Drosophila melanogaster: one gene and its partner. The protein of the gene in region 2 interacts with the protein of the main gene of each other region in a biochemical or structural test. Each region holds a gene or a part of one and is shown on either strand. Other genes may lie near its edges.

What was found.
Region 1: the proteins of Sas-4 (region 2) and ana2 are reported together in a solved structure, tested with the Drosophila melanogaster proteins (one study listed by BioGRID).

The regions. Positions count from the first base shown.
Region 1 is NT_033778.4:8,897,990-8,902,164, forward strand, and holds ana2 (anastral spindle 2), read right to left. Parts: upstream 2,223-4,175; 5' UTR 2,132-2,222; coding exon 1,378-2,131; intron 1,327-1,377; coding exon 818-1,326; 3' UTR 740-817; downstream 1-739. Other genes in the region: Sec31 (secretory 31), read left to right, coding at 1-184, 262-333, 400-588; CG13751 (uncharacterized protein), read left to right, coding at 2,353-2,586; MrgBP (MRG/MORF4L binding protein), read right to left, coding at 2,661-2,851, 2,904-3,318.
Region 2 is NT_033777.3:7,149,731-7,155,028, reverse strand, and holds Sas-4 (spindle assembly abnormal 4), read right to left. Parts: upstream 3,663-5,298; 5' UTR 3,622-3,662; coding exon 1,777-3,621; intron 1,726-1,776; coding exon 865-1,725; 3' UTR 810-864; downstream 1-809. Other genes in the region: MAGE, read left to right, coding at 1-663; gfzf (GST-containing FLYWCH zinc-finger protein), read left to right, coding at 4,399-4,863; CG2656 (uncharacterized protein), read right to left, coding at 3,831-3,978.

The DNA of each region.
Region 1 (4,175 bases), on a different chromosome or scaffold from region 2:
TCAGCAGCCAAACTGGCAGGGACAACAGCAAACCATTGGCTATACCGAGCAGCCAGCGCCCATCCAGCAACAGCGCCAACCGGCGCCGCCCAAGGAGAAGCCACCACTCCCCGAGGAGTACATCTACTTGCAGACTGTGCTGGAGGAGCTGAAGAACCGCTGCCTGGGCGCAACCAATGATCCGGTAAGTCTATTAATAAATGATCCATATAGACAAAAGGAATAACTTACTTTTGTTTATAAATTTTCTTACATTTTAAGCGCACAAAACGAAAGTTTGTCGATGTTGTCAAGAGGCTCGAAAATCTCTACGACTGCCTGAGAGATGGAAAGGTGAGAGCTGCTGCCTTAGATCGCGATTCAATTGCAATTCTCAAATGGCATTTACTTTAATTCCAGCTCACTCCCACCACGGTGCAATATCTGAATCAAATAGTTCAGTACATTCAAATATCCGACTATGCCAATGCTATGGAAATCCACACGCAAATCGCCTTCGGAACGGACTTTGCGCAGTGCGCGGGCTTTATGCAGGGACTGAAGGTCCTACTGCAATCCGCATCCGAGCTACAGTTGGTTCTGCGTTAGAGCCCCGTCGCCGGATCGCAGCCAAGTTCACTAAACGTATATTCTTATTGTGTCTTCAGATATCGATGTCAAACACAAAATGTTTTGTATACAAAGAGTGGTTCTCTACGTTAGTTTAGGCTGGGATCACCAGAAGATTGTCAACGTTATTCCGTGTATTGAAATATATTTCCACTTAAATCGCAAATAGACATATGCATAAATAACAAAACGAACATTGTACATGCTTTCACAACAGCTTCGGCTGGTTCCTGATATTCTCCAAGTCCAGTTGAATATGTGGCGAAGGGGCGGTCGCCGCCATGGGAGATTGTGGACACACCGGCTCCAGTTGCTCCTCGGGCAGCAGACGGTATTTTTTGAGATACTTGTACGAAGCATTGGATATGTCGTTTGGACTCTGCGCGTGGCCTATGTTGTCGATCGGACGCAGTGGCTCTGGATTAGGGGACTTCGGCGACGCCCCCAGGCGCATATCCTTCATCAACTCATCCACTGGCTGGCGCAAGTATTTCAGCGCCAGCTCGTTCATCACCATGCTCTTCTCGGTGTTGGGCTTGGCCAGTTGAGGGATCCGCTTCGCCTGAGGCGTATTGGCCCGGTAGCCCGTAGATTGGGCGATCGGCGGATGTGGTCGAGGAGACGGAAACTGAGGAATCACTCGTGCTTGTGGCGGCGGCAATGGTTCCTCCTCCTCTGCTATGTAATCCTGCATAATGGGAGACAAGCGTCTACCTGCTAGGAAGGATGTTTTATTGGATTCTTTTCATACAGATTCAACGTACGCACCTTGATTGGTGGTCAGAATATCGCACTGGGTGCCAGTGGTACTGCTGGCTTTTGAAATGGCTTCGGGTTTCGCTCGCTGCTGTTGCTCCAAAATCATCTCGCAGAGATTCCGAAGCTGTTGCTGCTCATGGCGCACGGACTCCACAAGGGATACCAGAGCCGCCAGATCACTCTTATTGGCCAAGTTGCTGACGTCGATGTCGGAATAGACAACCTGGGGCAGTGATTTTCGCGGAGGAGATGGGTTGAAGGGATCGGTCTGTGTGCCAGCACAGATGGTGAGGACATCTGCGTTGGAGGAGCTGGACAAGCGCCTAGATTGATATGCCTGTTGCTTGGGCTCGGCATTATAGCCACCAGCATTGCAGTTCATATGATTGGTAGTCTGCTGCGCATCGCTTGCATAGTTGCGATCCCGGGGCATTACTTGGTATTCCTTCGAGGAGCACGGACTATTGCTGCTGGGAGCGGTGCGAGGACCCAGTTCTGTGGCCAAAATGGGCGAAAAGTTGACCCTGGGCAGCATTTGCTTCTTCCAGGACGCGAAGGTGGGTGCAGCACGAGGGGATGACTCCTGATGTGCATGATTTGGCTGCTGCGGCTGCATCTGCGGATCCTGCGGCGGCTGGCCAAACAATATGGATACCTCCGGCACGGTGGGCCCTATAATCTCATTGGTGTGGCCCATGGGCACTGCTGCACTCGGCCTGGGCGCTAGTCTGGGCAGCATATCCTCCGTTTCGGGAACAAACATTTGGAGCGTATTTGTTTATATTTGCCGATTAAATTAAATTCGAGCGGGAGAATCTGTCCAATTGGAAGTCGATCGACTTAGGGGTGGAACTAGGGCTGACGTAAAACGCCAACTTATCGATACTTTATCGAGTGTACCCTACACTTAGCCAAGTTTCCAAGTGCACGAGTCACCCAGCGGACTGTGTGTCATAGCAAAAGCTGAAATTTCTCGGGGGAAAAATGCCTGTTTTGGAGCACATCAAAGCCATGGCAGAGACTCCGACTCCAGCTGAGAACAGCCCTGCACCGGCAGACGAGAATGCTCCGCCCCAGGCAGTCCGGGAACTGACGCAGACCGACCATCTCAACCGACGCCTTCTCAAATCGCTCCTGGAAAACATGCAGGCCACCGAGGTTCTGGCGCAGGAGAACGGGAACGGCTCCAACGAGGAGGACAACGATTTCGAAGAATAAATCCTTTTATTAGAGTACAGTAAAACTAATGAGCTAAAACGGATCAACAATCGTCAGTTTCGGGCGGGGGTCACCTATATGCGACGGCGCTTGTTGCTCTGCACCGGCGGCGGCGTAGTGGAGGGGCTGATGGACTCGTTGGACATGGAGCCGCGTGTGCGCTTGGCCGGACGCTTGGGCAGCTGCTCCTGGGGCTTGGCGACGGGCTTTTTGTCGCCGTCCTTGGTGGAATTCGTCGGTACCGGCGTTTTGGTTGCAGGTGGAGCTGTAAAACAACATTACAAGTGAATGAATCCTGATGATAACTAACGAACTACCTTTGCCATTGGTCTCTGCTGTTGGAGGGGCCGACTGTGCCTCTGCAGCCTCCTCGTTGGCATGCACTTCCACCGTCTTTTTGGTCTGTAGCGTTCCGTAATCCTGCTCCGGCAGGCTGAACTCGCGCTCCTCGTTGGGAAAGGGCAGCGACTCCAGATCGTCCAGTTCCTTCAGCTTGTACATGGTGCCCAGGTGGCGCCAGATCAGCTCGCTGGGCATTTCACGGTTCAGCGACTTGGACAGACGCTGGACAATGCAGGACATGTAGAAGTGCTTGTTGATGCCCACCGGGCGCAGGCCTTCCATTGCATGGAACAGCTGCAGCTCTTCCTCGGCGGACCACTCGTGGTCGAGGGCGGCCGGTAAGGGGGCCGCCGTTCCGGCCACAGCCAGACCCTTGTCCTTGGCCATCATTTTGCAGAGCGCATGGAACTAAAAACTGATACGTATTGTATGTTTTTCTGCGCGAATATTAGCGATGGTATGCGGGTGCGCTCACGCACCCGAACTATCGCCGCGCGGCACATCACTAGTTTGGGTGTGTATCCACTTTTATTCGTCAACTTTGCTCGATTTTAGCCCGTAGAGTTCGAGATTTAAAAAAAAAAAAAACATATAAGCCGGAGCTGGTAATTAACAAATAGTGTGCAAATATAGTTATGTGTTGTGTGTGCATCCGTCGAAAACTTCACTTTTCCACTATAATCCCTCTGCTAACCACACGGCGCAGTACGCCTTCGTGTGTTTGTGTGTGTGTTCTCCTTCACTATTTCTGCATAAAAAACTAATTTTCGGTGTTCCCAACGAGTTGAGCAGTGTTTTTTGCACACAACTCGGGTTCTCCATGTGCTGGCACAAGTAGCGCCCACCGCCCACCACCACGCCCACTTGGGGTCAGTTAATAACCTTGCACTTGTTCGCGTCAAGGCTTCCAGTTCGGCTGGAAAGTTAATCAGCAATGCGATCGATGAAACCAATGCCTGCGTTCGGTTCTTTACATGTGCCACAAAATAACACATATGTTAATGCGTAGTGTGACTCACTATCTAGCTATCCTAACTTCCCGCCTAGTACTAAACACTGACTAAACTACACCAATCTACCAACTATCTCTGTCTAGAATCGCGAAAATGTACACATATGTTATAGCTTTGTGTCGCCTGTTCGATGTTGTGCCCGTATGGGGAAGCCTGTACAAAGAATGAGATATCTAAACTACATATAACCAACTTGTTATTTCCAGCCAGCCATTAAGATCCATCCAAACCAGT
Region 2 (5,298 bases):
GCCATCCCCTCGCAGGAAGCGCAACAACCCGTCGATGTGGTCGACGCCAAGGTTCGCGCCATTCTAAACTACATCCTTGATCATACCGCCCAGAAGATTCCCATAAAGGACAAGGATTTGATAGCGGTGGCTGGGGACAAGAGCGAACTGAAGAAACGCCTGCCGCTGGTCACTAATCTGCTGGCCGAAACATTCGGTATAATACTAACCCCACTGGACGCGACCACCAAGACGTTCATCTGCACTGCGGAGGAGCCGGTGGCCTCCATTCACGAGCTGACGCCGGCTCAACGGCCGCAGTTCACGCTGCTGTATATTATTCTCATGTACATCTTCCTGCGCGGCAACCGCATCGAGGACTCGAAACTGTACGTTATGCTGGAGATGCTCAACATCTATCCAGACGAAGAACATGGCTACTTCGGCCCCAATCTGCGCAAACAGATCGAGGAGACGTTTGTGAAGCAACAATATCTGAAGCGGGAACGCTCACAGCTAAGTGCTTACGATGATTCCAAGACTTTCTTCCTTTGGGGACCACGTGCCAAGGCGGAGTTCACATTCGAGCAAATGGTGCAATTCGCCTCCAAGCTGCTCAATCAGCATCCCAAGGTCTTCGGCCATCACCTCTCCATGGCCCAAGAAGGAGTAAACGCGGAGTAGAATACCATTCTATGAATAATTTACTACATTTGATCTAACAAATTGAAAACCAAACAATATATATAATAATCTAAAATAGAGCCAATTTCCCATTTATCAGCAAGAAAAGAATATTACGATGATCTTTTAAAAATAGCACGTCTTTTCTATTTATCTAAAACTTAAGTTAATTTACTTAACAACGGAAGCAGAGACCCGACTCTAATACTTGGCATAGTCTGTGTCCATTATGAGCTTGCCATCCTTGTCCTTCAAACGAACGCGGCCGTTGGAGTAGCGCGTCTCTTGGCTGCCATCCGGATACACTAGCTTCACAGTGCCGTCCGGATACTCCCTTCGCTTGTTTAGTTTGGTGTGAATCTCCTTTTGGCCATTGGGCAGATTGAGAATCTTGTCACCATTCCGGAGCTGCACTAGATGGGTTCCATCCGCATAACGCCACTCCTCCAGTTTCTCCGTATCGCTGGGATCCACAATCTTAATGCTGTTGTTGGGAAAGTGAATCTCAACAGTGCCATCCTTGCGGCGATGTTCCGTCTGCCCGTTGGGAAACTCGAGTATTTCCAAGCCATCTAGGTAGGAGGTGTGCCAAGTGTTGGTCTCAGCGTAGTAATACTTCACTGTGCCTTCCCTGATGTTAGTTTCCTTGATATCCTTGTTGAAATAGAGCATGCGCAAGTTCATGCCATCGGCGCTTATCTTTTTTAGATTGCCGTTTGGGTACCAAATGTCCTTGCTCCCATCCGCATTCGTAATCTCCCGCTTAAAGTCACTGCTGGAGTTGGCAGCCGGTGGGGGGGTAGCAGCTTTCGGAGCGGTCACGGGCGGCTGAACTTCCTCCGATTCCACAGAACTACTAGAGGCGTAGCTCTCATCCAGAGCGTATGGTGTTTTCTTATTCCTGCTCAGTGAGCGACTCCGACTTCTCACTTGGGCACTGCCGCTACTCTGACGACGGTTTTGCGCCTCTCGCTGCTTGGCAGGCTTACCAGCAGTGCCGTCCAGAGATTGGGTGCGCCGACCGTTCTCATCGAGGATATCGGACATTGTCGCGGAAGGTAACTAAATGAAGACATTAGTTACATTACGATATACACACAAGCATGCACTTACCACTTTGGGGGCAAGCCGGGCTATGTTTCGATTGATCTCCTGCAGCATCTTGCTGTTGTTTTCGCGGCCAATCTTGACCAGCTCTTGCTCTAGGCGCTTGTTCTCCTTGCGCAGCAGCTCGATCTCGTCACGGTAGTTTCGCTGCTCCTTCTCACTGGCCCGCAGTTGAGCGCGGAGTCGTGCCTGTGCCGAGACATGCGCCTGCTCCTTTTGTTTGAGCTGGAGTTGCAGTCCCTCCACTTCCTGTTTCAAGGCGGCTATCTCCTTTTTTTCCTTGCTGTTTGCATTGCTCTTTTGAAGTCGCATTTGCTGCTCGAACTTGCGTCGTTCCTCCTCAATCTTCATGCGCTCGTCGTGCAGATAAATTTCAGCTTGAATCTTTTCGTCATGGACGCGTTCCATGGCCTCCATGTGATCCTGTGTGCACTTTGCCTTCTCCAATTCGTGTTGCTGCCTCAGGCGAAGGAGTTGGGCATTCTGCTCCTTGAAGGTGGCTATCTCTGTCTCCAGCTCTTCGAGGCGAGTGCGAACGAGATTGGCTTTCTCCTGAAGATCTTTGGTTATGGGTTCGTCTGACTCCTTGCTGGGACTTGACTTCTTCTTCTGTTCCAATGCCTGGAAGAGGGCGGACTTGAACTGTTCAAAGAGCTGAATATTGGAGCCGTCGTTGAGGCTGGTGGCATCGGAGTACTCGTGCGTGTCATTGGAGTCGGAGAAACGCACTCGCACTTTAGTATTCCCCACCTGGATGGGTGTCATTGTGAGGGTCTGATCGCTGGACGGTTCGGTGTCCTCCTCGTCCCCCTCCTGCAGTTCCTGCACCAGCATCTGGTCCACCTGTGGCTGCAATCGCATCTGACGCACCTGCTGTGTGACTACAATGTGATCGGAGTCATCAGCTACTCGGCGACGCTGATCTTTGCGCGCCATAAAGGTTCGAATGCAGCTGGAGTTCATATCAATGTTTCCCTCAGTGGCCTTCTGCTCGAGCAGCTCGAATATGCTTACATTGCTGTCATCTTCCACTCGGATTTGAGCAGAGCGTCTTTGGATTTGCGCTGGCTTTATACTCTGTGTGTCCAGCACCTTGGCCCAGCAAACTCCTGTCATGGGACTAGCTTCCGAGGAGGCTTCATCATCGGCATGAGTGGTTTGTCCCGCCCTGCTCTTCTGCTCTACAAAACGAACTCTGGGCGAGGTGCTCGAGGCGGTTGTGGAGGACGCATAGGAAGACTTTAGATCTGGAGTGGAACTGCAGGCGTTCTTGCCGATAAGCATCTGCTGAAAGCGCTGCTCGTTGAGATCGTCGAGCTGTGCTGAGGGTTTGGGAGCTGGTGGAGGCGCAGGATTGGGAGGTGACTTGACTTGCTTCTTGAGAATACCCTTTTTCATTTGAGGCGTGCGGAACTGAGGGTGGGCATTAGCGAACTTGTATCGCGGCAGGTTTTCCAGGCGCAGCTGGTCGGGATTGATCTTGAACCGCTGCTTTAGACCTTCGCCGCGACGCAGAAAAGGGCGTTTAGGCTTGGCCGGCTGGGGATCAGCCATTGAAATCTCTGGCTCGTGCTCGTCCGGATCCGCCGCGAGTCGCGGCATTTGTATAGAGTGCTCCTCGTCCCACTCCTCCAGCACACTGTTTTCATGGCTTTCCGTTTCCTGGTGTAGCAGTCCCAGCATTTTGTACATATTACGTTGCTCCAAGCCGAGCAAAACGCGGTGATTGGACTGCCGCTCCTGCAGCAGCCGCTTCTGCTCGTCCTGCCAACGACTAAGCGCCGCGAGACGCTGTGCGATGGCCTCCTGGCTCAGAGGCATTCCAACAGGACTTTCGCCAGCCTCCTGCATGCTTTTATATTCGTTCTTAGAATCGCAGTTTTGTTTAGACGCCGTACGCGTAGGGGAATTTAAAATTACGGCAGCAGTTGTCCAACACTGTACCAGTGGCAACTCTGCGGTCAGGGATGGTGCTAGACATGCATTTTGATTAGATTTAATTTTTTATTAAAAATAAAATATTGTACATTTTCTTAAGCAATATGAAAAATTGATTTTTTTCAATCCTGATCCCCTTCCTCCGGTTCATCAAAGTCCTTAACGTTCACGTCTGCATCCTCGCCGTACTGCAAGATACTGTCAATTTGTAGCAGAAGATCGCCCACGCTCTCCTCGTCCTGGGAATCCAACGGGAAAAATCTCACCAAACTGTAAGTGAATAATAAACATCAATATTTACAATTTTTGAACGTCACAAAAATAACCGATTTTGATAAGTGGCAACGCCACCGCATAGCTCGCAGCCCTCGTATCCCACACAAAAGCATTTTTCGACGCGTCGCAAAAGAAAATGTGCTTGTGCAATTAAAATCGAGTGATAAAAACCAAATATAAACCCTTTTAGTGCATCAAACTGCAATAAATCAGTGCGTTTGGGTAAATGGCCGGCGTTTGCAAAAAGGCGCGCAAATAGTGAGCTGACGAAATACCACCAAAAATCCCAACCAACAAATCCCAGGCAGCCAGCCACTAAAAAAATCGCCTAATTTACGATACAAAACACTTTTCGAGGGCAAATCGAAAAACGCTGAATTCCGGGCTCGGGCCAAACAGCGCACCAATTCAAAAATGGAGACGCCCGTCGAGGAGCACGGCATGGACCTGACCAAGGTGTCCGTGGTGCGCTCCGCCAAGGGCGTGGATATGCTCTGCGTGGACGACTATCTGTACCACTTCGATCGCATCGGGCGGAATAACACCTACCGATGGCTGTGCAACAGGCGCAAGGACAAGTCCACTCCCTGCAAGTCCCGCATCTGCACCATGCTGCCCGATCCGCTGGACAAGACGCGCCACGTCGTCGTGGACGTCGTTCTGGCCCACATCCACCCGCGCTGCAGCGATCACGAGGTCAACAAGGTGGCCCAGCGCAAGCGGCTCTCCGTAATGATGATGAACGACGCTTACAGCACCACCCAGCCGAAGAGAGCACGCCTGTACGAGCGCGCCAACGCCGGCATGAATCCGCCGGAGTTCATCTACGGAAGCATCGACACCTCCACCGTGGAGGCCTCGTTCCAGTTGGACTTTGAGGTACGGCCCCAGGCCAACTGTACCTGGCTCATGCCCCTGAATACTCAACTCAACCATTTATTTAGAATCTAGCTGGGTCTCTTTTTCAGAAAGAACATTGATATTAATATTGATTCATATTTCGGTAACCACCGCTACTTTGAACATTTGATAATGTAAAAAAAAGGTTAATTTGCTCACCTTAGTAATGAGATGGTTTCCCGCCAATTTGTTTTTTATATTTATTTTCCTATTTGCAAATCCACCGGCTAGGCCGTTAAAAGGACAATAAATACCAAAGCTTAATCATTTATGATTCAAAAAATACTATATATCTCCAAACGAAACTAAATATTAGGGATTTTTGAAAAAAATGGGACCCAATCATTTTATAACATGCACCCTACTGAAGGGAATATCCAAGGGAATGAAATACTTTTGAACTTACACTTAACT